2 linked regions of the Stegostoma tigrinum genome follow. The protein of the gene in region 2 interacts with the protein of the main gene of each other region in a pairwise test. Links are inferred from orthologs where the notes say so. Each region holds a gene or a part of one and is shown on either strand. Other genes may lie near its edges. The genes, in order: ubtd1b and mid1.

Region 1 (12,595 bases), on a different chromosome or scaffold from region 2:
AAGTGATCTGATGTTCTGAACATGTTTGCATGGCATATTTTAAACAGCATAAAATAAGCAATAAAGTCACAGTGGTTACAGAACTGTCAGTGACTATGTTAGGGAAAAGAACAAAAAGCATATCATCACAAAAATCAAATAAAAGTTTTGAGGAAGAGTCACTGGACCCGAAACGTTAACTGTTTTCTCCTTCACAGATGCTGCCAGACCTGCTGAGCTTTTCCAGCAACTTTGTTTTTGTTCCCGATTTACAGGATCCGCAGTTCTTACAGTTTTTATAAAAATAAACCAGTTGAAGGGCAATTTTACCAACTGTATACATCAGGAAATCCTTTCCTTCCATTGATCTCTTTACTCAAGAAAAAAAATGCAGTAATAAAGGAATTTTTGATTTAAGCTATATGCAATCAACAAAATCAGATGAATTTTGTCTCATTCACTTGAAATATAAGCACTAGTATAAATCTAACAAGAATAAAGTCAATTTTTAAAATAACAAGTGACTGGTTATTAATTATTCAAATGTGTCCAAATAAATTTAATTGCAATACATTTAATTTCTCTGAAGGTTTCAAAGTTGCAGTAACATTGAGAAAAATTAGTTTTTTGGATGGAACATTAAATCGGCTTTTTCTGACACATCTTAAATGACACCCTCCCTGGTTAGTCTAATAAAAGTTTCACGTACATAGGCAAAAAGATGAATAGTAAACTCCATGCGTAATATAAAAGGAATATAGTACTTAAAAGCTCAACAGGTCAGCAAAATCAAATAACTTGAAAAACAAATTTTTCATTTTCCAATACTTCTACAATTCCTGGCGTGTTAACTGCCAATAGTTTAGGGCTATTTAGAGTAATTGATTACTTTTCCAAAGTACAAACAACTTTGCATAATGGAACAACACAAGTTAACCATACAAGCTTGGCAACAGATTTTCTTTTCACCACCCATGGGGCTGACATTTACACCTAGGTAGACAGCAAATCTTTTCAGCTGTTCAACTATGGAAGCAGCACAGTCCAGAAAATCTCAGCTTTGAGTCAGGCCCACACAACAATTTACAACAAGGTCTGTTGGCAGCAATCATAGAAATCCGGTCTCATCTTTGCCCCATTTCTGTCCAATGCTGTTTTGAAAAAAAAAATCAGCTAACTCATGATAGGCCAGTGATCAATCCACTTATGTTCTTAACCTTCAATACTGCATTCTAAAAAGTGGTTGGCCTCAACAAAAATCAGTGATGAGATCCAAGTTTGTGTTCACCCCAATATAATAAGTTAAAATGGGTTTCTGCAACTTCCAGAAATGGTGACAAACCTGAGGGTTTTAAAACCCTCTCCGGTTTTATATCCAGGATCTTTTACATATTGGTCATTAACTGTAAGTATGATGAGTAGTTATGACAGAAGCAGCTTTAGAAAAAACATCAAAAGACAGAATTTAGCATCACGATTACTTGAACAGCTACACTTCGGTTTTTCAACTTGTCTATTGAACCATCATCTTATAATTCCCCATTGATCTAGAGGACATTTTACTTTCACTTGTGGCATATATAAAGACCAGATTCCAGAGTAAAACCAATTACACCAAAATTCACACTTAAAAAGCTCCAATTGACAACTGGTGGAGGAAAAATACATTTCCATAAAAATGTCAAGTTTGCATTCAACGATAGAATTCACTACTTCCAAAATGAAAGCTTCAGAGCAATTCATTGAATTAGAAACGATTGACTAACATTTAAAGCCTTACTCAAGCATCAGCGGAGGCACAAAAAGACAGGATTCAGAGACAACAGAATGACTGACATTGTTATTTTACATCTCAAGTTTATAATTAACCTTCAAATGGAAACCTCTGTTCAACAACCATTTTCTAATTTTGAGACAAAGAAAAGGGCAAGCCAATCAGAATTTCGTATTCTGTAATGAATATTAGATGATGTTTTAAATTAACATGTGCTCTGCCAGTTGATGCATAGTACTGTACTTAAAGCTCAAATAGTGCAGAGCCTTCGTGTTCCCTTCCCCACACCATTATAACATGAATGAATCAAGCACTGGTGTGGTGCCCTGTTTCAGAAGAATTGCTTCACAACATCCCCTTGGAACGAATAGTCACTAGTCGGCACAACATCGTGGGCTGAAGGGCCTGTTCTGTGCTGTACTGTTCCACTTGTTAACACATCCTTTTTGGGTTTTTATGCATTAAGCATGGAATGCGTTGCCAGCAGCAGTTGTGGAAGCAAGGTCGTTGGGGTCATTTAAGAGACTGCTGGACATGCATATGGTCACAGAAATTTGAGGGTGCATACATGAGGATCAATGGTCGGCACAACATTGTGGGCTGAAGGGCCTGTTCTGTGCTGTACTGTTCTATGTTCTATGTTCTATGTTCTAACTAACTGAACATTGTTATGTCTAGTATAGATCATGAAAATTTTGATAAATTTACCATAGGCCCATGTTTCACATAAACTAAGCACCAGATTGACCTGCTCTATTGGGTAGCGACATTTGCAAAACTGAATTAACAGATTTGGTTAACAGTTATAGAATCAAAATCAATTTACAACAGAAGTTTTTTTCTGAGGTACAAAGTAGTCCTAAAAATTGGTGCTGTTCCCATTCATCCTACGGATAAACTACCAAACCATGACCGTTTACTGTTCCCAATCTGATCCAATACCAAAAAGATAGCTAGAAACAAACCAGATATGCTTCCATAGCTTCACCAAAAGCGATTCAGTTGAGTGTACAGTCCTAGACAGCCAAAAGACTAATTTATTGTTGATTTTCCATTCATGGAGTAGACAGCATATTAACGTAGATAAAATAAAAATAAACTTTTTCAAGACACTGCACACAAAAAAAACATTTCAAAAGCAGGTTTTAAATGTTTATTGCAAAGAAAAGAAGCAAAGTAGGGATTTGAAAGAATGGCATTTGGCAGAGTGAGATCACAGAATTAAAGACATTTACAGCATAGGAGATTATTGATTCAAAAAGATTGGACTGGCACATTGTTTGGGCCAGCATGCAAGCATAACAGCATTTGCTAAAAATTGGGTGAAATCTGGATACACAGACACATTTGTCATATCTAGTTTTATAAGAAGGAAAAGAGATGAATCAGTTAATAATGAAGGGCTGAAAGCTCTTTTTGCATTAGTCTTAACAGCCTGGGATAAGAAGCCTTTTCTTTCGTTTATTTCAAAGCTAGACTGTACAATTACAGTATCATCTATAATTAATGAAGCCAGTCACTAACATATCATTCACGATTATCTCCCCATGAACATAGTTGAATGCCTCCAGTGTGTATAAATGTGTATCATAACACTGCAAACTTCATACTTCTATACAAAGGAACCCAGTGAACTGCAGTTGTTGGAAATCAAGTTGCCGGGTTCTGATGAAGGGTCACTGGACCTGAAAATGTTAATTAGGCTCTCTCTACACAAACGCTGCCAGATGATTGCTGGAAAAACTCAATCATATTTTTATACTTCATTCCACTATACAAAAGAAATATCTCCTGTCAGACACGAACAGTGGTACAAATGCAACAAACTACAACGGTCGCTAAGAGATTTACGTACAAATTAAGCTTCCACACAATCTGTCATGGTGCTTACTGTTAGACTGTATCCTAATGTGCAAACTTTCAGAGTTAATTGCAAAACTAGGGTTGATCTGTTAGACCACATGGAGCTCTTGGTTCATCACTTTGGTGCAAATCACCCACCACAATCTTATACCAGACCGCTAGATTGGGAAATAATCCCCAATACGGTTGCTTTTGTCATGCAATATAGAAAGCAATATGTTCTGCTTCCTTACTGCAATCATTTTAAATTATTGTAGAAACATAAGATAAATAAGCATTGCAAAAACTGGAAAGAATATGCTAATATGTAAATGTTACAAATAAAGTTCGTAGAAGACATAATTATGAAAAAGCTCAATTAACAATTTGCAAAGGTATTCAACTTCAACTAGTACTAAATTTGAAGATATAAATCTGCACACAACTTCATTAGTCTTCAAAAGAAAATTGGAAATACATTAAGGATACTAAGTACTGGGCTATGGGAAAGAAAGACAATGTTTTTTTTTGCTATCATTCACTCAGTCAGCTCAGAGACCTCATTCAGTGTTGTTATTGTGACTATAGTCATGTATGTTGGAAATCATAGAACAACGCACAGAAAAATCACTGTCTGCTCTCTCCATGCAAACTCTTCACCAGAGTTAATTACCTCAACCCCCTCCCCTGCTTTTTCCTGAACCCGGCAATTATTTCCCTTTTCAGGCACTAATTACATTTGTGAACCCTAGACAAAGATAAACCGGTTGAATTTTCTGCAGAACATTGCCACTTCACTTATTATATGGAAATTCCTGCCAGGAACTGTTTTGGATAAATATTTTAGTTGACTATTCATCTGAAGCAGCTACAGGTAAATTAAGTGGGGTGTGTCCCTATAGACTTGTCCTCCATTGCAGGATGACGAAAACAGCTTGTGAAATAACTTAGTTACGAATACAGCTTATGAAATACCTGCGTGAATCACAAGCTCCTAACATTCACTTTACTAAATCTGATCATCTTATCTCAGACCCCCAAACTGTAGATCAATGAAAAACTGGGCAAAGTTCTGCTGGGATAGGAGAAGCAGAATGAGGTATTGATACCGGAGGTCTGTTCGCTAATGCCAGTCTACTCAAATCTGACCTTAAGTGTAGGTTAACATGAATATCAGCCACCCAGGTGGGCAAAACAAATAATTTTTCTGGTCGGTAAAGCAATCAACTTTGTTTTGAAAACAGTTAAATAAATTTCTTATGCAAATAAGATTGACATGAAAAATTAATTCCATAAAAAGAAAACACATTCCAGCTACAAAGTAAAATTTTAACCCTTACTATCAACATTACTGAAAATGCTTATTTATCCAAAAATGGCTTTTATTGAATTTGACTATTTCAGGGATAACCAGACTTGCTGGCAGTCACTCAAGCTGTGTGTCTAAGAATCGACCAGATATACAGCAGGTCTGCTGCTATCACAAGCAGCATTCAATCTCCCTGCCCACCTGGGTATAAAACTGGCATCCAGGAAGCAAAAACAGACCTTTGGAGACAAAGCTTTTACATGGGGCAGAATACAGAGGTCAGAGATGAGAGTGGGAAAGAAAGAGCTAGAACAAGTAATTTCACTGATACATATCCAAGGTAAGTTCACCTAAACTGAATGGCTACATTAAAACATCGAGCTTTTATCCTGAAAAAATGATAAATGTCTGAGTATCAGTATCAACACAGGCATAAATCTAACATTAGTAGATAGATGGGCCTTGCCATGTAGCAATGGAAGAAATATAAATAAGGAAGTAGCTTCCAAAAGCAGCGCGTGAACAGACTTCTCATTAATTTAGTGAACTACAATTTGGATGGCGATTCTACTAACACAACACTGACACGATGGAAAATATATTGCATTGCTGGAACTAAAATTATGACCAAAAGTGAAAAAAAGTCCTACGCCATTAGCCCCCTGCTGAGCACGCCCAATCGGAAACACTGGGCGCTATCATAATTTTACACTCTTCTGCTGCCTTACCTGTTTTTCTCCCATTGCCACTCCGTCTCCCTAAGCGATGATGTTGCTGCTGTTGTTGTTGCCGGCGTTGGGTCCCCACGCAGCCTCCCATCAATGATGCCCTTGACCCAGGTGCGTCTCACCCACTAACCGCAAACCCACCTGAAGTCTGGGAGAAACTCGCAGCAAGTCCCCTGGAGCTCATGAATTCATTTTCTTAAAGACTCGCCGTCTATCCCCTCCCAAAAAACGCACACAAAAGAAATCCCACGGTCCACCTTTAAGACCCACCAGTCCGTGCAAAGTTTGGATCCAAGATAATCCCTAACCCACCCCAAAACCCCAGTGCAAACACAGAACTACCCCTCCTCTCTCTCCCAAACCAAGTAACAGCCCGTAACCGGGGCAACCAGTCGGCCCTCACCTACTTTACCTGCTACTGCAAAACTACACCAACATCTCTCATCGCTTCACCAACCTTCCCATCTCAGCCAATAAGGCAGGCTCTCTCGCGCTTTCTCTCCCTCAATGTCACAAAGCAAAAGTTGGTCTAATCTGTGAACATACAATTCTGTCTAGCTTCACTCCATATCTTTCGGAAGCTGAACCAGCAGTGACACTCCACTACCAGCCTTTCCCCACCTGAGCGACGTTACTATCAATGTACACCCACCGGCCCAAAGCGCCTGCGCCGTTGCCTTACCCCGCCCGGTGCACGCTGGGTAACGCTGGCCTCCCACACCTGACGCGCGGCCCACCGCGCACGCGCACGGGCACCTGCCACGCCCCCCCCATCGGCGTACTCTTCCTTAGCAACCGGATGCCAGCCGTTACTAAGGCGACCCCCTGAAACTAGAAATGGGGGAAACTTTACTCTGTGCCATATAATAAGGACCATGGGGTAATCTGGGTAACATCAATTGTTGACTAATTCAGAGCTCCAGTCTAAAATCTTGAGTTCGAGTTTAAAAGATTAAAGCAATTTTGAAAGAATTAAATTTGATCAGGGGTCGCAAGAACTGCAGATGCTGGAGTCAGAGACAATACAGTATGGAGCTGGAGGAACAGATTTCTGATGAAGGGTCTAGGCCCGAAGCGTCAGCTTTTGTGCTCCCAAGATGCTGCTTGGCCTGCTGTGTTCATCCAGCTCCACACTTTGTTATCTTGGATTCTCCAGCATCTGCAGTTCCTATCATCTCAGGAAGAAGATTAGGCTAGTCAACTTCTCAAACCTGCTCTACTATACAATTATATGACAGTTTACCTTATTGTAATCTCAAATCCACATTCCCACCAACCCCAATAACTTTTCATTCCCTTGCTTAAAAAGTACTTGTCAAGGTATTTCTTAAAAATATTCAAAGACGGCATTTTCAGGAACAAAGTTCCATTGTTGCTATACAAATTCAAATAATCATCTCTTTAATTTATTTTTTAAAAATGACGATTTGATCAAATTTACAGACAATACAGTATGGAGCTGGAGGAACACAGGAGGTCAAGCAACATTAGAGGGGCAGGAAACTTTCTGATGAAGGATCTAGGCCCAAAATGTCAGCTTTCCTAAGATGCTGCTTGGCCTGCTGTGTTCATGCAGCTCTATACTTTGTTATCTCTACTCTTCTTCCTGATTTGTACATCATGTGCAGGGTTACATTGTGAAGGCAGAAGGGGAATCGGTTAAATTAAATACACATAGGAACTGCTGGAGAACCCCAGAAGGTTTGACAGCATCAGTGGAGACAGAAACATGGCTAATATTTTAAATACAGTGACTCTTTAAGGAACTAAAGAAGGAAGGAGTGGGTTTTATTCTGTTGCTGGGGTTGGGTTGGTGGGTTAAGGCAACCACAGGGGCAGGTCAGGGAAAGGTTAAGAAGATTTGAGACCAAAATTAGTATGGAACAAAATGCAAAATTTTTATTAATAGGCCAAATGGCCTCCTTTATCCTTTCATGGGATGTTGAGCATCACTGGTATTGCCTTTTTAAGAAGAAAACTGACAGTTCACCACATCATTGTGGCTCACATTTAGGTCAAATCAGGTAAGGATAACACATTTCCTTCTCTTTTGGATAACCCTTGTAGCAATATTTCCATTACACCACCACCTCCCTCTTCTGCATTGTAATTATTCTGTGATTTGAGTATTGTTGAAAAAAAAATCAACTTTGACAAAAGAAGAATTTTTATACTACTTCATGTCTGCTTTTTCAACAATACTGAAGCTTTGGACAGCCAAATAACTGCGTGAGTCCGTTAAAAATGTTTTATCTTCTACATTGAATTCAGTCTCTGTTCCCTTTGACTAACAGAATTAAAATCAAAGCTGTCAAGTGAAGGAGTTTCTCTGTGTAGTCTGCAGAGTAATGAGCATGTGATCTGTGCCATTTGCGGTCACGTGACATCCAGCTCGTGGCGCATGCGCGGTTGAGTGCAGCAGCATGGCCGCCGACATGAGGCTGTTAGGGCTGGTGGAGGAGTTTGTGAGTGGGTTGCAGGACGGGGCTGCCAAGGACCTAGCTACAGGTAGGAATGGAAGTGAATGGTGCTGTGTACAGCTATTGTTGTCTGGGAGGACGAGCTGCTGATGGAGGGGTCCCGGGCGAGGAAGTGGCGCCGCCCGTCTGGCCGTGTCACCCTGGTAACGGCGCACGGACCCCAGTTTCCTGACTGGAATCTGTATCTCTTCTGCGCTCGACAGCCCTCACGTAGGCCTCCCCTAGCTTTTCAGGAATCTGTTCAAGTAATAAGCTGAGTATTGAGCAATTCCCTAGGCAAAAAAATTTCAGTTTAAGGTTTGTCTGAAAAATGGCCAGTGTAATGTTTCAGCACTGCCAGAGTTTCTCGAGTTGACCATCAATTTTGGGAGGTTGGCATCTCTGAGCTAATGTTGAAGCCTAGAGATCTAAACTTTATATAGGATATAAAACTGTCTGACTCTTCTTTTGATCTTAACTCCAATTTAGTGTTTATTTACATGTAAGAACATTAAAAAATGCACGTGACCATACAAACCTTTGAGCCTTCACCACCATTCAGTAAGACTTTCTACCCTAACTCCATCCAACAGTACACCCCCCCGCCATGTTTATCTTTATTTTTTTTAGTATCCAAAAATCAATATTTCTCTGTTTTCAATAAAGCCAATTCTTAGAGCATCTTCTAATTTCTGAAATGGCCTACCCTTTATTCTGATAACAGTGATTCCCTTGGGGGAAACATCCTCCCAGAATATACCCTGTAAAACTCTTCAAGAACTTCAGGGTTCCAATAAGATTTTTCATTTTTTTAAACCCCAAAAAACATGGGCCAAGTTTACTGTATCTCTCCTCTTTGGACATTTTCCTCACTCCAGAAATCACATTTAATAAATCTTTGTTGCACTCCCTTGAATACAGATATATCTTTCGTTGAATAAGGAGACAGAATTGCCCTCACTGGTAACCTAGTGACAGTAATTTTGGGTTTTTAATATCTAAATGGATTGAGGCTCTCTTCTCTAAGTTTTTTTTGATTGTGATAAAGCAATGTCCTGATCCCATATTTCAGGCTGCATCTAAGTATGCAAGCTGATTCTTTCAAAGCCAGGTGGATAAAATTAGTTTTACTGAAATTCTGTTTTCTACATTTGACCCCATGATCCTTCCAGAATGTGTTCTTCTATGTTCCTTTGGACTCAGTACTGCAGTCCTTAATGCAGAATGGCCATGTTTAGAACCAGATTCTGAGGAACTGTTAATTTAGGGGAGCAAACTTTATTGGGAAAACAGAGAAAATTGGAGAGGAAAATAAACATTTGTCACTTTGAATGAGAAGCATTTAACAATTTTATAACCGTTCTTGCAATTTAGCTAGAAATACTAAAAATGGCATTTTTAAAATTTGTCTATTGGTAGTGAATTCATTTATTTGTTTTCGCTGACTTTCCCCATTATTCTCATTGAAAAAAAAAGCTATTATGTCAGATGGGTTATCGGTTTCAAAGTGTCAAATTACCTTTCATTAAAATTGATTGCAGGAACTTGATGCTTCTGGATCCAGCAAAACAGTCAATGATAGATAAGACCTTTGAATTCCAAATAATGGCATGCTTTACTGGAATTTCACAGATAGCAGTAATGTGGTATTGATTTGAAAATTATTGATTCACTTAACTTTCCTTGTGGCTGGGAGTTTAGGGCTCTTAAACACCGCATCCACCAGTGATTTCTGCCTTGGGGCAGCAATCTATTCTTAATGTTGCACTGATGTATGTTGCACTTCTTAAAAATGTGGATGTTATGAAATCTCAATTAAATAATAACGTTTGCGATTAGTAATATATACAGGATGGAGAAACTTAGATTACAAATTGGAAAAAAAACTTTCCCTTGTCACAGTCATCGTCATACCACACAGAAACAGACCATTCAGCCCAACCAGTCCATGCTGACCCTAGTCCCACCCGCTTGCGATTAGTCCATATCCGTCTTATTCATGGACTTATCTAAATGTCCTTTAAATATTGTAATTTTACCTACATCCATGAATTTCTCTGGCAGTTCATTCCAAACAAGAATAGCTCTCGGTGCCAAAAATGTTGCCCCTCTTTTTTTCTTAAACAATCTTTCTCCTCTCAGCAAAAGATATCCCCCCCCACTCCTTGTCTTGAAATCCCCCATCTCAAGGGAAAGACACCTACCATCACCTTTATGATTTTATAAGCTCCGATAAGGTCAACCCTCAACCACCTATGCTCCAGTAGAAACAGGGGTCCCAGCTTCTCCTTATAACTCACATGCTCCATTCCTGCTGAACTTTTTCTGACCTCTCTCTGGCTTAATAATATCCTTCCTATGACAAGGCAACCTGGACTGGACGCAGCACTCCAGAAGATGCCTCGCTTAACGCTCCCTCGTTATTTTGCCAGATCAAAAAAGTTTTGACAATGTAATTTTGCTTTTTTGTGAGCATTTCTTCTGTTGTTTGACTCTTGGCAGTGCTCCTACAAGAAGTTTGGAAGAAGAGTTATATTCAACTCAAAGTATTAGCTCCGTTCCATATTCCACAAATGCTGCCTGACCTGATTATTTTATATATTTGTTTTTTATTTCAAATTTATACCATTTGTAACAATATAGAATCCCTAGAGTGTGGGAACAGGCCATTCAGCTCAATGAGTCCACACCAACTCAGAAAGGAGCATTCCACCCAGATTCACCCCTCATCCCTGCACCCCCATCACCAATCCACCTAATTTAGCCACCCCTGGACACTATGGGTAATTTCGTATGGCCAATTCACCTGACCTGGACATCTCTAGACTGTGGGAGGAAACCCATGCAGACATGGAGTGTGCAAACTCCACACAGAGTTCCTCGGGGCTGGAATTAAACATGGGTCCCTGGTGCTGTGAAGCAGCAGTGCCAACCACTGAGCCACCCTGCCACCCTATTTCTGCAAGTCTTGTCTTTTCAAACTATAGTTCCAGGTTTACATACTGTTTTGCTAGCCCTCAATGTTAGTCACCACCTCCGTCCTTACTTAACTCTGGTATTGAGGTTAATTGCTGCATCTTTACAGTTGAGCTTGGTTCTGTGAATGTTATTGATTGACTGGCACAGTGAACAAAGCTGCTGTTCTTGAAAAAGTCTGTGGAATCTTTGATATTTGTCGCAACTGAGAGTTACGTGTTGATTGCATTGTGCACTCCGCTTCTAAGAGTACAACATTCATAGGAATATTTTGTTTGAAAACCTTTGAATTCGGAAGATATCTTTTCTACTTATTTGCAATCACAGATATATTCAGGAACAACAACAGATTTGATAAACACTTTTTGGTAGCTTTTACCCTGAGGAGGAACTTATTTGCGAGTTTGGGCTGATATGACTAAGCAGTGTTTTTCTTAGAAAGAAGCACACTTCCATTTCTAAAGAGACATAGAAACACAGAAAATAGGAGCAGGACTAGGTCTTTTGGCCCTTCAAGACTGATCCATCATTCAATACGAACATGCTGATCATCCCACTCAGGATCCTCCCTAACCCATGGATCATTTTCGCTGTAAGAAATATATCTAACTCTCCTTTAAAGCATTCAATGTTTATGCTTCCAGAACTTTCTGCAATTGTGAATTCCACAGGCTCATCACTCTCAAGTTTGAAGAAATTTCTCCACTTCTCAACTCTTAATGACCTACCATGTATTCTTGGACTGGGGCCCTTGGTTCTGGACTCCCAGGTCATTGGATATCTCTTCCTTTGGTTTGCCCTGTCTAGTCCTGTTAGAATTTTAAAGGTTTCTTTGCCCCGCCCCCCCTGCCCCGCCCCCAACTCTGGTGGATATAGTCCTGTCCTAACCTAACCAATCCAATCTCTCTTCATATGTCAGTTCTGCCATCCCAGGAATTAGTTTGTTAAACTTCTGTTGCACTCCTTCCACTGTCAGAATATCCTTCCTCTGATGAATATGCCAGAACAGCACAGAATGCTGCAGGTGTGGTCTCACCAAGGGCTGGTACAATTGCAGCAAGAAAGAGATCCCTGCTCCTGTGCTTGAATTCTTTCGCTATGAAGGCCAACATATCATATGTATTCTTTAATGTCTGTTGCACCTGTCTGCATACTATCAGTGATTGGTGTATGAGGATGCCTACATCGAGTTGTATTGCCTCCCCATTCCCAGTCTATCACCATTCAAATAATAATCAGCCTTCCTGTTTTTGCTACCAATGTAGATACCTCACATTATACTTCATCTGCCATACATTTGCCCGCTCACCTTGTCCAAATCACCAAGATGCAATTGGGTTAAGGAAACCACAGGGACAGGTCAGGGAAAGGTCGCTTGAATATCCTCACAACTCCCCTTTCCACCCAGCTTTGTGCCATCTGCAACCTTGGAGTTACTACATTAAGTTCCCTCATTTAAAATATGAACATCTGTTGTGAATAGCTGCAGTACAAGTGCTGCTCCACTAGAGTTGCTGCCTGTTCAAAT
Region 2 (12,958 bases):
CCACACAGTTGTTGACAGGAAAAGGTCTCTACCATTAATCTAGGTCACTAGCTCATAGGCCAATCAACTTTCCAGCCATAGCTGTATCTGTACATCATCTCATGGATTAATGGTCTGCAACTCAACCTCCTGCTCGCTCATGGCTTAGGTGTTAGGATACTTACTTTTCAACAAAATGCAGTAATGCTTTAAGACATTTTTTTTTAAAAACAGCACTTTCGCAGTTCTGCCAATAATTTTCAAAAGCACAAAACAAAAAAAAAAGCCATGGTCCCTGAAGTGTCTTCTAATGAAGTCAATTTCCTACAGGTGTTGTGTCAATCTCTCTTTCCGTTGGGATTTGTACACATACACCTACTCCTGTTCTGGTACCCTTTTTAAAAAAATGGAACCATTTTCATTTATATTGCCTATTCTAATTTTTCTGACCAAAATGCATTACCTCACTATAATAAATTTCATTAAACCCGTGTCTTCTCAGTTCACCAGTCTATGTCCTCCTGTGACTATTCTCTGCTTTGTTAGTTATATTTCTGAATTTCGGGTCATTTACAAACTTGGAATCAACACCATGTTTAGCTGAGTCCAAATCAATAATACAGTGTATACATATGTATTAACAAAGTATTCCTTTCACCTGGGGAGCACCACTTTGACTTCCTTTGGATTGGATGAAGTAGTTTTGCCTCTGCTCTGTTTCTTAGCCTATTTTGTATTCACACTGCCACTATTCCTTTGATTCCAGAGTTTAAATTATGCCACATAGAATCAACCACACCACTCCTATCAACCCTCTCTGTTACTCCAAAGAACTCAATCAATCAAATACATTTTCCATATAACTAATCCAGGCTTTCATTTGTTAGTTGTAGGAACAGGAGTAGGCCAATCAGCCCATTGAGTCTGCTTGACCATTTAATACAATCTTTTTCTCATTCATTCATGGGATGAGGGCATCATTAGTCAGGCCAGCATTTATTGCCCATCCCTAATTGCCCAGAGGGCAGTTGAGAGTCAATCACATTGCTGTGGGTCTGGAGTCACATGTAGGGCAGACTGGGTAAAGATGGCAGTTTCCTTCCCTGAAGACTTTAATGAACCAGATGGGTTGTTCTAACAATCAACAATGGATTCACGGTCATCACGAGACTCTTAATTCCAGATATTTATTGAATTCAAGTTGCACCATCTGCTATGGTAGGATTCAAGCCCAGGTCCCCAGAAGATCATCTGGGTCTTCATCATATTGCTTGAACACTTACACACATGAGCGCTGTAACACCTTGTCATTGATGAACAAAAATGATCAACCACTCCTTTAAACATATTGAAAAACTGAGCTTCCACATACATCTCAGGGAAAAAAATCCCAAAGATTTGCCACTGTCAGGATTAAACAGAATCCTAAATGGTGTCCCTCGTATTTATAAATTGTGTCCCCTGGTTCCAGACTCTCCAACCAGGGTAAATAACATATGTATTTACCCTGTTGCTCCTTTTGGTTTCAATGATATTATGTCTCACTCTTCATAACTCTAGAGAGAATACAGGCCCAGTTTGGTCACCATCTATTTATAGGACAGTCGCACCTCCCCGGGAGCAAGTACAGTGAATCTTTGCTGTACACCCTCTATAGTGGTAAAATCTTTCCTGAGGTAAAGCGGACCAAACTGCACACAGTACTCTCCATGTGCAGTCAAGCCTAACTTCTCCACAGTTGAAGCAAGACTCCACTGCTCCTGTTCTCAATCCTCTTGGAATAAAGGCTAACATTCCATTATCCTGCCGAAGAGCTTATCGAACATGCATGTTAGCCATCAGTGACTTTTTGACAAGGAATGTACATTTATACTTGCCAGCCTATCAGCGTTTGCAAAATATTCTGTACATCTGCTCCTCCTTACACTTTTCCACGTTATATTGCATCTACCATACCCTCGACCAAACACTACACACTTCTAAATCCTCCTGGATTGCTGCAACGATATATTCAAACCTCGACAAAAGAAAGGCACCAAAAGGAGAAGAGAGTCATTGATCTTATTGTAAGAGTTTTCTAGCTTCAAGGCTCAAAGCTTCTGCCTCAGAGACTAGAATACTAGCGCTGGGCCAAAGGCTCAACATACTGAGAACAGTTGAGAACATGTACTTTTTCTTGCCTTGTGAAAAAAGAAATGAGCTCAGGATGAGCCCCCCCCGCCAAGGAATGCAACATGTTTCAAAAGTGCTGTTAGTCAGTATTGAAAATACTTAATAATGAATTAAGATGTAAAAATGCCTTCACTTTCATAAAAATGTACCTCAGCTTCATGAAAAGCTTTTAGTGTCCTGAACTTAGATAACAGCACTCAGTTGAATCATATTTATAGACAGGCAATACAATTGATGGCACTCTCTGCCATTTAAGTTTCCAAATTTATCATGCTGGTCATTTTCAACTCCCAGCCTTATTCATCAGGCAGAAATATGGAAGAACATGACAAATAAATGGGAGCTTCTCAGTAAATGAAGGCAGTAGTTGCTTCTCAGTGGTAGCCCCCTCACGATGGGATGGGGGTAATGTGTTCAGGTCACACTCCAGAGCACGAGACGCAGGCTGGAACACCAGTGCAGTACTGAGGAAGTGCTGTACTGTCAGAGGGGCTGTCCTTTTGGATCAGACATTAAACCAAGACCCTGTCTTCCCTCTTGGACGGGAACAAACACAATCCCATTATGCTACGTGAAGATGAGGAGGATTTCTGGTGCCCAGTGTATCCCTTCCACAACATCACTGCAGTAGATGATCTGATTATTTATACTACAGTTTGTTTTGGACAAGGCTGTGTCATACATCCGAAATGGCCACAGCCTCTCAATTCATTGCAGGATTTATCTGGAGAGCTACAATATTTGGAATGCTCCGGTGCCATGAGGAGGCGTTAACTAAGTATTACTCAAATCAAAATTGGGGACGGGAGTTATGAAACTTGGAAAAAGGACACTCAAGGAAGGGACGGAGAGGATAAGCAAAAAAAAAAATAGAATGCATTGGAAAGTCAGCAGGGTATGACAAATAGAAAGAATCCTGGAAGAGGTGACAGAGAGTAAGAGTGAGAGGAAAAGAGCCAATTGGGATACAAAGTAAAAAATGTGAAAGAAAGTACAGCAGTGAGAGCTCAGGAAGTGATAGCCTGGAATAAGGAGGAACAGACTTAGCAGAGGCGGAAATGAAAGATAAGCAACTCATTGTACAGAGATGGATATTTTCTTTTAAAATTCAATCTTGAAATGCGAGCATGATTGACGAAGTTGCCTTCATTGCCCCTGGATTCCCTGAGGGGCGGTAGGTGTCCTCCTTAAGTTGCAGCAGTTTAATGCAACTTGGAGGCTTGAGAGGCTATTTCATAGGGAGCCATTCATCTTGGCAAGGGACAGGAGCCACAGAACTGAATCCCAATGCCCCACACCCTACGCCCCCCCAGAATCTGCCGATCAGCAATGGCTCCCCCCACCCCACCAAATCTTACAATTCCAGCAAAGGCCAATTTCTGAAGCTGCTGTAGAGTCAATTCTGGATTTCCATGACCCTTTATGGGATGGGGTTACGTAGGGGGGATGGGTTCTGCAGGGAGTAGGGGGGTCACATCATTTGTCTGGGTTCAGAAGAATCATACCACGTAGCGGAATCAGCCAGGGGCAGATTGCAGCCTGGCGCACATTGGTAGGAGAACAAATATTCCCTATTTTCACCAGCACTCTGACAAAGAACAAATAAGGGCAAAATACAGGAGGGTTGGGAACCCAACATGATGAGGTGGGTGAGGGCTGTTGTAGAGCATAACAATCTGTTTCTATGCCGTGGGCATCGGTATTTGTGACTAAAACTGTCCGGAGATCCAAAAGTGTGCAAACTGTGATCTGCCATTGGGTTCAGAACAGTGCAGCAAATTTCCTTTACACCCAGAGAATGTAAAACCATTAGTCAGAGTCAGAACTGATCATAGAATTCCTCAGTGTGGAAGCAGGCCATTCAGCCCATCAGATCCACTCCGACCCTCTGAAGGACATCCCACCCAGATCCCCAACCTGCAACCCTTCATTACCCATGGCTAACACACCTAGCCTGCACATCTTTGGACTGTGGGAGCAAACCCACACAGACACGGAGAGAATATGTAATCCCCACACAGACACCTGAGGCTGGAATCAGACTCAGATCCCTGGTGCAGTGAGGCAGCAGCTCCGTCCACTGAGCCACTGTGCCGAGACTGTCAGAGATGTAACAGAAGAGAAGATAGGAATTATCCATTGCAAATGATTTGGTCAATCACCAGAAAGAGGTAAAAAAGTGTGTACACAAGTGATCTCTGCACAATTGAAAATAAACCTTCATTTGAGTCTCATAAAGGTAAGCTTCAACTTTTTTAACACAATATTATTCTACACAATGATGTTTCCTTGTTGTTCTTTTGCTTACTTTAAAAATTAAAAACAGAGGGACAAATCTCTATGCGGTGAACTGCAATTAAGGTTTTTGACTCCGTTCCGATTCTAATGTCTTTCCGATTGAGCGGATCCCCTTCTGCAAAAACAGCACCAGTCAAACTGCTTGCTTCACTCTCGGCTTTCCCAATCCCTGCTCGGTTACAATGGGAAGCACCCGCTCGTCGGTCGCAATCTCTTAACGCAAGTCGACTGCGGGCTTAAGCCAGGCTGCGCTGCAACAAAAATCCACATGCATTTATGTAGCGCCCTCGATGCGCTGAAGCATTCCTAGGTGCTTCGCAGGAGTGCAAGCAGGCAACATCCGACACATTCCACCCTCTGGGAATGCTCCGTCAGACAGATGAGAGAGAACTGAAAGGTCGGAGTGAAAGCCACATACCTTTATTTTCTCAAAGCGATCTCCGAGTGCTGCCACTTGGTGGTCTCGGTGACGCCCCACCAGCTTGCAGAGAGCACAGATGAGCTGCTCGTCGGTTACGCAGTACATGTTGACCTTCTCGCTCTCGTGCTCCAGGCACATGAGGCCACGGAGATGCGAGTCGGGCACGGGCTCGATGAGCCGGTGCCCGGTGAAAGGTTTCTTGCTCGGGTGGGTGGCCTTCAGGCACCCGTCGCAGTAGGAGACCTCGCAGGTCACACAGGTTTTCACAGCCGCCCGCGGGGGGTCCTGCTCGCAGAACTGGCACGGGATGCGCTCCACCGCAGTCATGGCGCTGCCGTCGAAGGGGCGCTCGCGCCGGCTCTCGCCCGGGGAGTTGGGACCACTGACCGTGGATGCCTTCTGAAAGCGGTCGATGATGTTCTGTAAAGTGACGTTACGCTTCAGCCCCTCTAAACCGCGGTGGTTGAGGGCAATGACATAACGGCACGTCGGGCACTGGAAGGCAGCAATTGACTCCACGCTCTCGTTCGACGCACAGTGAGAAACCAGGATGCGGTGGGCGCAGCTGAAACACAGGCTGTGGGCGCACGGCAGAAGCAGCGGGTCTTCGAAGAGCTCCAGACAGATTGGGCAGGTCAGTTCCGACTCCAGTGTTTCCATCTTCAGGCAAAGCAATCCTGTGTCGTCAGCAAAATCCAGGGAAGCTGGCGAGCTATCTGGAAAGGCAACACAGGATTGGATTAGACGACATTGTGCACGTGCTGGATGGAGGAAGTGAGGGGGGGGGTGATGCGGGGGGAAAAGAAACGCGGGGCTCAATTTAGGGAGATTGCCGACTTACGCTGCAGCCCGGGTTCTGCCCCTTGCCACGCTACAGCCCCAACGCAACCCATCGCGGTTACGAGCCAGCTGGACTGAGGTGTGCAAGATCGCCACTGCATCGCACAATCCAAGTATTTCGATCCCTCTCTCCCCCTGCCCATCACTGTGCACAGTCAGGAAGGCTTCCCCTGAACATTGGCCGGGCAGTAACACCCCCCACCCACTGCTCGGTGCCCGGTTTGACAGCCACTGACTGCTGCAGGCAGACAGCTCGGTCAGGCAGAAACCCTCTACCTCTGCACACACTGATACATCCGAGCTGTGCGCTCCATTCACCAGAGGCAGCATTAGAGAGGGCAGCTGCGCGCCCTCTCCTCCCCCAGGCCCTGTCCTGCTGCAGGACCTCCTAACCTTTCCCGAAAAAAAAACACTGCTTCATTAGCGGGGGCTTAGGCACTCATTAGTGAGCTGGAAACAGTGAGCGAGGGAGAGCGAGATTGTGGGAAGGGTGGCGGCTAGAAAAACAAAATCAGTGGAACTACGCACAGCCCAGTAGCTCTAGGCATCGTTAATTACAAACGAGTTGGCAGCAAGATTGGTAAGATTTTACTGAGGGCTAAAATAGTAGCTCAAAAGAAGCCATCACTTCTGTGAAAATGTTCTTCTCTCTATCGACAATTACAGTCAGCACAGTGATCACTGCAAACATTGTGTAGAATTACAACAGCAGTTTCTAGGTTCAAAAAGGGTCTCTTCGTGAAACAAGCCCCTGGGTGCTGCAGGCTGTGTGACAGTACAGTGTATAATCCCAGTGTGAAGGCTATGAATCCACATTTCCAACCTTACAAGGGTAGCCAATGTGACGATCACATTATCAACGCAGTAACAGGCTTCACATTGGGTTGGGGGGTCCCACCAATCAAAATTTCTCACTTCAGTTACTCCAGAGGGTCAACCCCTTTTCACTTAAAAAACAGTTTGAGCCTGGGATTATTCTCGCCTCACCTCAAACTGTTCCAAACATGACCTTTGATTGTTCTGAGCTACCACAAAGCCCCCTCTAATTTACCAGAGCAGTAAACCGAAAGAAATCATAACGGCGGAGGTGCCACTAATCCCTAACTGCATCGCATAATTCATAAGAAATTACTTTGAGTGTTAAAATATTTTGAGTTGCAAGTGCTGGTGGAATTCGAAGATTTAAATGAGGCATCTCCTCTGCACCATGAGATTTGACAAGTTGGCAAAGATGATATGTGAGGAAGGAGAGATCGGAGAGGAAGGGGATTTCATGAATTGAATTTCATGGCAGTAAAAGACTTTGGGACATCCTTACAACTACTTTTGGAATGTCGCCCCTTTCAAATGTAGGAAACCAATTTGTGCACAGCCAGCTATGGTAAACAAAGGAATGAGATAGTGACCAGCTAATTTTGGCTTGCAACGCTAGTCGAGGGATAAATAGTGGCCAAGGCACTGAGTGTGACTCTGCTGTGAATGGTGTCTCAGAATGTTTTATAGAGCATAGAACATTACAGCGCAGTATAGGACCTTCGGCCCTCGATGTTGCGCCGACCTGTGAAACCAATCTGAAACCCATCTAACCTACACTATTCCATTATCATCCATATGGTTATCCAATGACCATTTAAATGCTCTTAAAGTTGACGAGTCTACTACTGTTGTAGTGGCTGGTTGAAAGTCATCAGGGCCTCGGACTCAACACCTCAGTTGAAAGACAGCACCTCTGACAGTATGGTACTCCCTCACTTCTCCTCCTGTTTATTAGCCTTTATTATGTCAAGTATTTGGAGTGGGGCATGAACCCATGAGCTGTTGATCCAGAGGTAAAAGTGAGGAAGCATCAGCTCAAATCCTTATCCTGATGCCTCTCTCTTTCTTGAACCAAAGTCCAGCATTTTCAAACAAAGGCACTATGGGGGTCATTTTATAAACTTACCAGTGCTGACAAGAAAGTGTCTTTATTTTGCTGCACAGATTCTAAAATGGTTTCTTGGTGTGGTCATGACTGATGGTAACAGTAAGTGCAGTTAAATCAACTTGTATCTCTTCGAGTAGAAAACGCCTTGAATCTTGCGCCTTTCATCAGTTAATTAATCATTGATCTTCAGCCCAACTCCATTTATCTGCCTTTGCTACAAAGGCCTTGGTAAACTTGGTATCTGCTCCAGCAATTCCTTTGATTTTAAAACGCTTACCCTAATTTTCAAATCCCTCCCTTGGCCTCAACTTCCTGAAGTTTGAAATCTTCTCTTACAACTCTCCAAGACCTTGATCAGATGGATCGATTGGCCAAGGAGTGGCAGATGGAGTTTAATCTAGACAAATGAGAGATGCTATATTTTGAAAAGGCAAATCAGGGCAGGTCTTATACACTTAATGGTGAGGTCCTGGGGAGTGTTGCTGAACAAAGAGACCTTGAAGTGTGGGTTCATAGTTCCTTGAAGATGGAGTTGCAGGTAGACAGGGTAGACAAGAAGCCGTTTAGTACGTTTGCCTTTTTCGGGTAAGTGCATTGAGTACAGGAGTTGGGACATCATATTGCAGCTGTACAAGACATTGGTTAGGCCACTTCTGGAATAGTGCACACAATCCCGGTCACCTTGCTATTGGAAAGATATAGTGAAACTTGAAAGGGTTCAGAAAAGATTAACAAGGATGTTGCCAGGGTTAGATGGTTTGAGGTATATGGAGAGGCTGGATAGGCTGGGACTATTTTTCCTAGGGCATCAGAGGCTGAGGGGTGACCTTAGTTAAGTTTATAAAATCATGAGGGGCATGGATATGGTCTTTATCCCAGGATGGGGGAGTGCAAAAACTAGTGGGCATAGGTTTAAAGTGAGAGGGGAAAGATTTACAATGGGACCCAAGACCTCTTGCACGCAGAGGGTGGTGCATGTATGGAATGAGCTGCCAGAGGAAGTGGAGGAGGCTGGTACAATTACAGCATTTAAAAGGCACCTGGATGGGTACACGAATAGGTTTGGATTTAGAGGCACATAGGTCAAATGCTGACATATGGGGTCAGATTAATTTAGAATATCTAGTTGGCATGGACGGGTTGGATCAAAAAGAGTCTGTTTCTGTACTGCATATCTCTATGACTCTATAAGTGCATTCTTCCCATTCTGGCTTCACACACCTCCCCTAAAGTCATTGATGGCTATGCTTTTAGCTAGCGAGGCCCCAGGACCTGAAATTACATCCCTAAAACCCTCTTTCTCTTTGTTCCTTTTGACACTTATTAAAACCTGCCACTTTGAATAAGCTTTCGGTCACCTGTGTTGCTGTCTTTTTATGTGGCTGTTTGAGTTTTCTTTCTAAGTTCACTCCAGTGAAGCACTAGATGATGATTTACTGCATTGAGACTGGCAAACAACAGTAATGCACATTGATAAAATGGTCCTTTGCCCAAACGAAAACCCCTTTGGCAGCATAATAAAAAGAAATCTACTTCTTACGTTTTATTCTTATTAAAGTCTTGAGACAACGGTACAAACTCACTTGTGAGAGCTGTGTGAAAGTGACTGACTAGTTGGTCCCTTGTGGGAGAATTTCCTGACCCATTCTCTTGTTATTTTACATGCTCAATGTGCACTTATAACATTGGTTCAAATAAAGGACAACAACACAGCAAATTACCCCTGCACAGATCCATTAAGTTTCACGGAATGGTGGTCTGCCATCTTCCAGTTGGCCACTGTAGATCTTTATTAAAACTGACATAAACCATTAACTGGCTGTTTTCTCAACCTGAAATGAATGATTGACTGGGTTAAACATTGCTGGCATTGGCAGGATCCTTATTTTGCCTGATGTACTGCCGTGTATTTAAACTTTCTGCGACAGAACTGTGTCTAAAGCCACAGCACTGAAATCTTTAAATATCTAGCACTCTGAAGTGTGTATGTGTATGTGTATCCATGTGTGTCAGAGGGTGTGTGTTGTAGGATGTGGGAAGTCGAAAATATTATTTATGTCCAAGCCATGACTGCAAGCATCCCCAGGATCAATCTGGAGCCTTAGGTATTTAAACTTAATCTTCTAAACACTAAATGTGAACAATCTAAGAATAATCAAAGACAATTGATAGGAATCACTGAATGACAATTGAATACTTCTGTCCATTCTTCACAAAGTGGATGGGGAAGACTTGCATTTTGGGGTAAGAGGTCATGTACTGAAATTTCCAGGATTAATGTCCAACCCTACACTCCCAACTGTTCAAGGTGGAGACACCTCGCACGGCATCCCGCCCCATGACGCCTCACAGAAACTAGGAATGGGCAGTAAATGCTAGCATTGCCAACACCACCCATAGGCTGCAAAGCAAGAAAATACAACGTGAGAAGTGAAATTTGAATTTGCTACAGAAAAATATCCTGAGCAGCTTTGTACGGATTTGTGATCAGTCAGAATGGGAACGATGCAGAGGAGTGAAAATTTTCAAATGTTGACTCTTTGTCGGCACTAACTGATATAAACTGCAGAAACAAAGAGAAAGAGTGGCCTGAAGAATGACAAACAAATGAACAAAAACATATACATGAACATGAAAAGGGAGACAAACAGGAAGATGACCTGTAAAATGCTTAAGTGATAACAGGAGATGCTTAAATTCCAGAATTGATTTTATTTGTTCATAAAGAGTGGGGTGTCTCAGGCTGGGTCAGCATTACTGCCCATCCTCAGTTGCCCTGGAGAAAGTGGTGCTGAGCTCAGTTCTTCACACTGTGCAGTCCTTGGGACGTAGGGGCTCTCAACGCTGCTTTGAAGGGAGTTCCAGGATATTGGCTCAGCACAAAAGGAAGAGATAGCAATATATTTCCAAACCAGACTGGTGCGTGGCCTGGAGGGAAACTTTTGGAGTTGTTCCCATTGCATCTGCCCCTGTCCCACGAGGTAGTAGAGGTCAGGAGCTTGGAAAGTGCTGAAGAAGCCTTGCTAAGTTATGGCAGTGCATTTTGTAGATAGTACAGACTCTGCTACCAAACAGCAAAGGTGGAGGGGGTGAATGCTTGTGGATGTGGTGCCACACAGGCAGGCTCCTTTGTCGTGGGTGGTGTCAATCTACTTGTGGGTTCTTGAAGCTGCAACCGTCCAAGCAAGTGTGGAATATTCCGTCACACTCCTGATTTGTGCCCCAGAGATGGTGGACAAGCTTTGGGGAGTCAGGAGGAGAGTTCATCATCACAAAATTCCCAGGCTCTGACCTACTCTTGTAACCATAGTATTCATAAAGCTAGTCCATTTCAGCTTCTGGTCAATGATAACTCCTAAAATGTTGAAAGTGGGAAATTCAATAATGCTAATACCATTGAATGTCAAATGGGCGTTAATTAGATTCACTCAAAGAAGAACAAAGAACAAAGAAAATTACAGCACAGAAACAGGCCCTTCGGCCCTCCAAGCCTGTGCCGCTCGAGATCCTGTCTAACCTGTCATCTATTTTCCAAGGGTCTGTGTCCATTTGCTCCTTGTCCATCCTTGTATCTGTCCAGATATATCTTAAAAGACGCTAACGTGTCTGTGTCTACCACCTCCGCTGGCAACGCATTCTAGGCACCCACCACCCTCTGCGTAAAGAACTTGCCATGCATATCTCCCTTAAAAACTTTCCTCCTCTCACTTTGAACTCGTGACCCCTAGTAATTGAGTCCCCCACTCAGGGTGGATACAAGAAGCTTTTTCCCAGTCTACACCCCTCATGATTTTGTAGACCTCAATCAGGTCCCCCCTCAATCTCCATCTTTCTAATGAAAATAATCGTAATCTACTCAACCTCTCTTCATAGCTAGCACCCTCCATACCAGGCAGCATCCTGGTGAACCTCCTCTGCACCCTCTCCAAAGCGTCCACATCCTTTTGGTAATGTGGCGACCAGAACTGTATGCAGGACTGTAAATGTGGCCAAACCAAAGTCCTATACAACTGCAACATGACCTGCCAACTCTTGTACTCAATACACCATCCGATGAAGGAAAGCATGCCATATGCCTTCTTGACCACCCTATTGACCTGTGTTGTCACCTTCAGGGAACAATGGATCTGAACACCCAGATCTCTCAGTTCATCAACTTTCCCCAGGACTTTTCCATTTACTGTATAGATCACCCCGAATTAGATCTTCCAAAATGCATCATCTTGCAGTTGCCCGGATTGAACTCCATCTGCCATTTATCTGACCAACTCTCCAGTCTATCTATATTCTGCTGTAATCTCTGACAGTCCTCTTCACTATCTGCTACTCCACCAATCTTAGTGTCATCTGCAAACTTGCTGATCAGACCACCTACACCTTCCTCCAAATCATTTACGTGTATCACAAACAACAGTGGTCCCAGCACAGATCCCTGTGGAACACCACTGGTCACAGGTCTCCAATTTGAGAAAGCCCCTTCTACTACTACTGACTCCTGTTGCCCAGCCAGTTTTTTATCCATCTAGCTAGTACACCCTGGACCCCATGTGACTTCACTTTGTCCATCAGCCTGCCATAGGGAACCTTATCAAACACCTTACTGAAGTCCATGTATATGACATCTACAGCCTTTCCCTCATCAATCAACTTTGTCATGTCCTCGAAGAATTCTATTAAGTTGGTAAGACATGACCTGCCCTGCACAAAACCATCACTGATATGCCCATTTTCTTCCAAATGGGAATAGATCCTATCCCTCAGTATCTTCTCCAGTAGCTTCCCAACCACTGACGTCAAGCTCACTGGTTGATAATTACCTGGATTATCCTTGCTGCCCTTCTTAAACAAGGGGACAACATTAGCAAGTCTCCAGTCCTCCGGGACCTCACCCATGTCTAAGGATGCTGCAAAGATATCTGTTAAGACCCTGGCTATTTCCTCTCTCGCTTCCCTCAATAACCTGGGATAGATCCCGTCTGGACCAGGGGAATTGTCCACCTTAATGTCTTTTAGGATACCCAACAATTCCTCCTTCCTTATGTCAACTTGACCTATAGTAAGCAAACATCTATCCCTAACCTCAACATTTGTCATGTCCCTCTCCTCTTATTGAAGATGGTCGTCAACCAATTTGTTTGGTGCAAATGCTACATTCCACCAGTCAGCCCAAGCCTGGATATTGTCCAGATCTTGCTGCATTTGAAAATGGGCTGCTTCATTATTTGAGGGGTCACAAATGGTGCTGAACATTGTGCAATCATCGGTGAACATCTCCACTTCTGACCTTATGATGGAAGGAAGGTTACTGATGGAGCAGCTGCAGA

What was found.
Region 1: the proteins of mid1 (region 2) and ubtd1b interact in binary tests that used the Homo sapiens proteins (3 or more experiments, as listed by UniProt). The two-hybrid records come from large-scale screens. The link is inferred for Stegostoma tigrinum from reciprocal best matches to the Homo sapiens genes MID1 and UBTD1.

What each region holds. Positions count from the first base shown.
Region 1 is NC_081373.1:12,312,097-12,324,691, forward strand, and holds the start of ubtd1b (ubiquitin domain-containing protein 1), read right to left. Parts: upstream 6,310-12,595; 5' UTR 5,724-6,309; coding exon 5,633-5,723; intron 1-5,632. Other genes in the region: MMS19 nucleotide excision repair protein homolog, read left to right, coding at 8,056-8,140. UniProt on the Homo sapiens protein: May be involved in the regulation of cellular senescence through a positive feedback loop with TP53. Is a TP53 downstream target gene that increases the stability of TP53 protein by promoting the ubiquitination and degradation of MDM2.
Region 2 is NC_081365.1:69,803,448-69,816,405, reverse strand, and holds the start of mid1 (E3 ubiquitin-protein ligase Midline-1), read right to left. Parts: upstream 5,764-12,958; coding exon 5,712-5,763; intron 5,587-5,711; coding exon 4,868-5,586; intron 1-4,867. UniProt on the Homo sapiens protein: Has E3 ubiquitin ligase activity towards IGBP1, promoting its monoubiquitination, which results in deprotection of the catalytic subunit of protein phosphatase PP2A, and its subsequent degradation by polyubiquitination.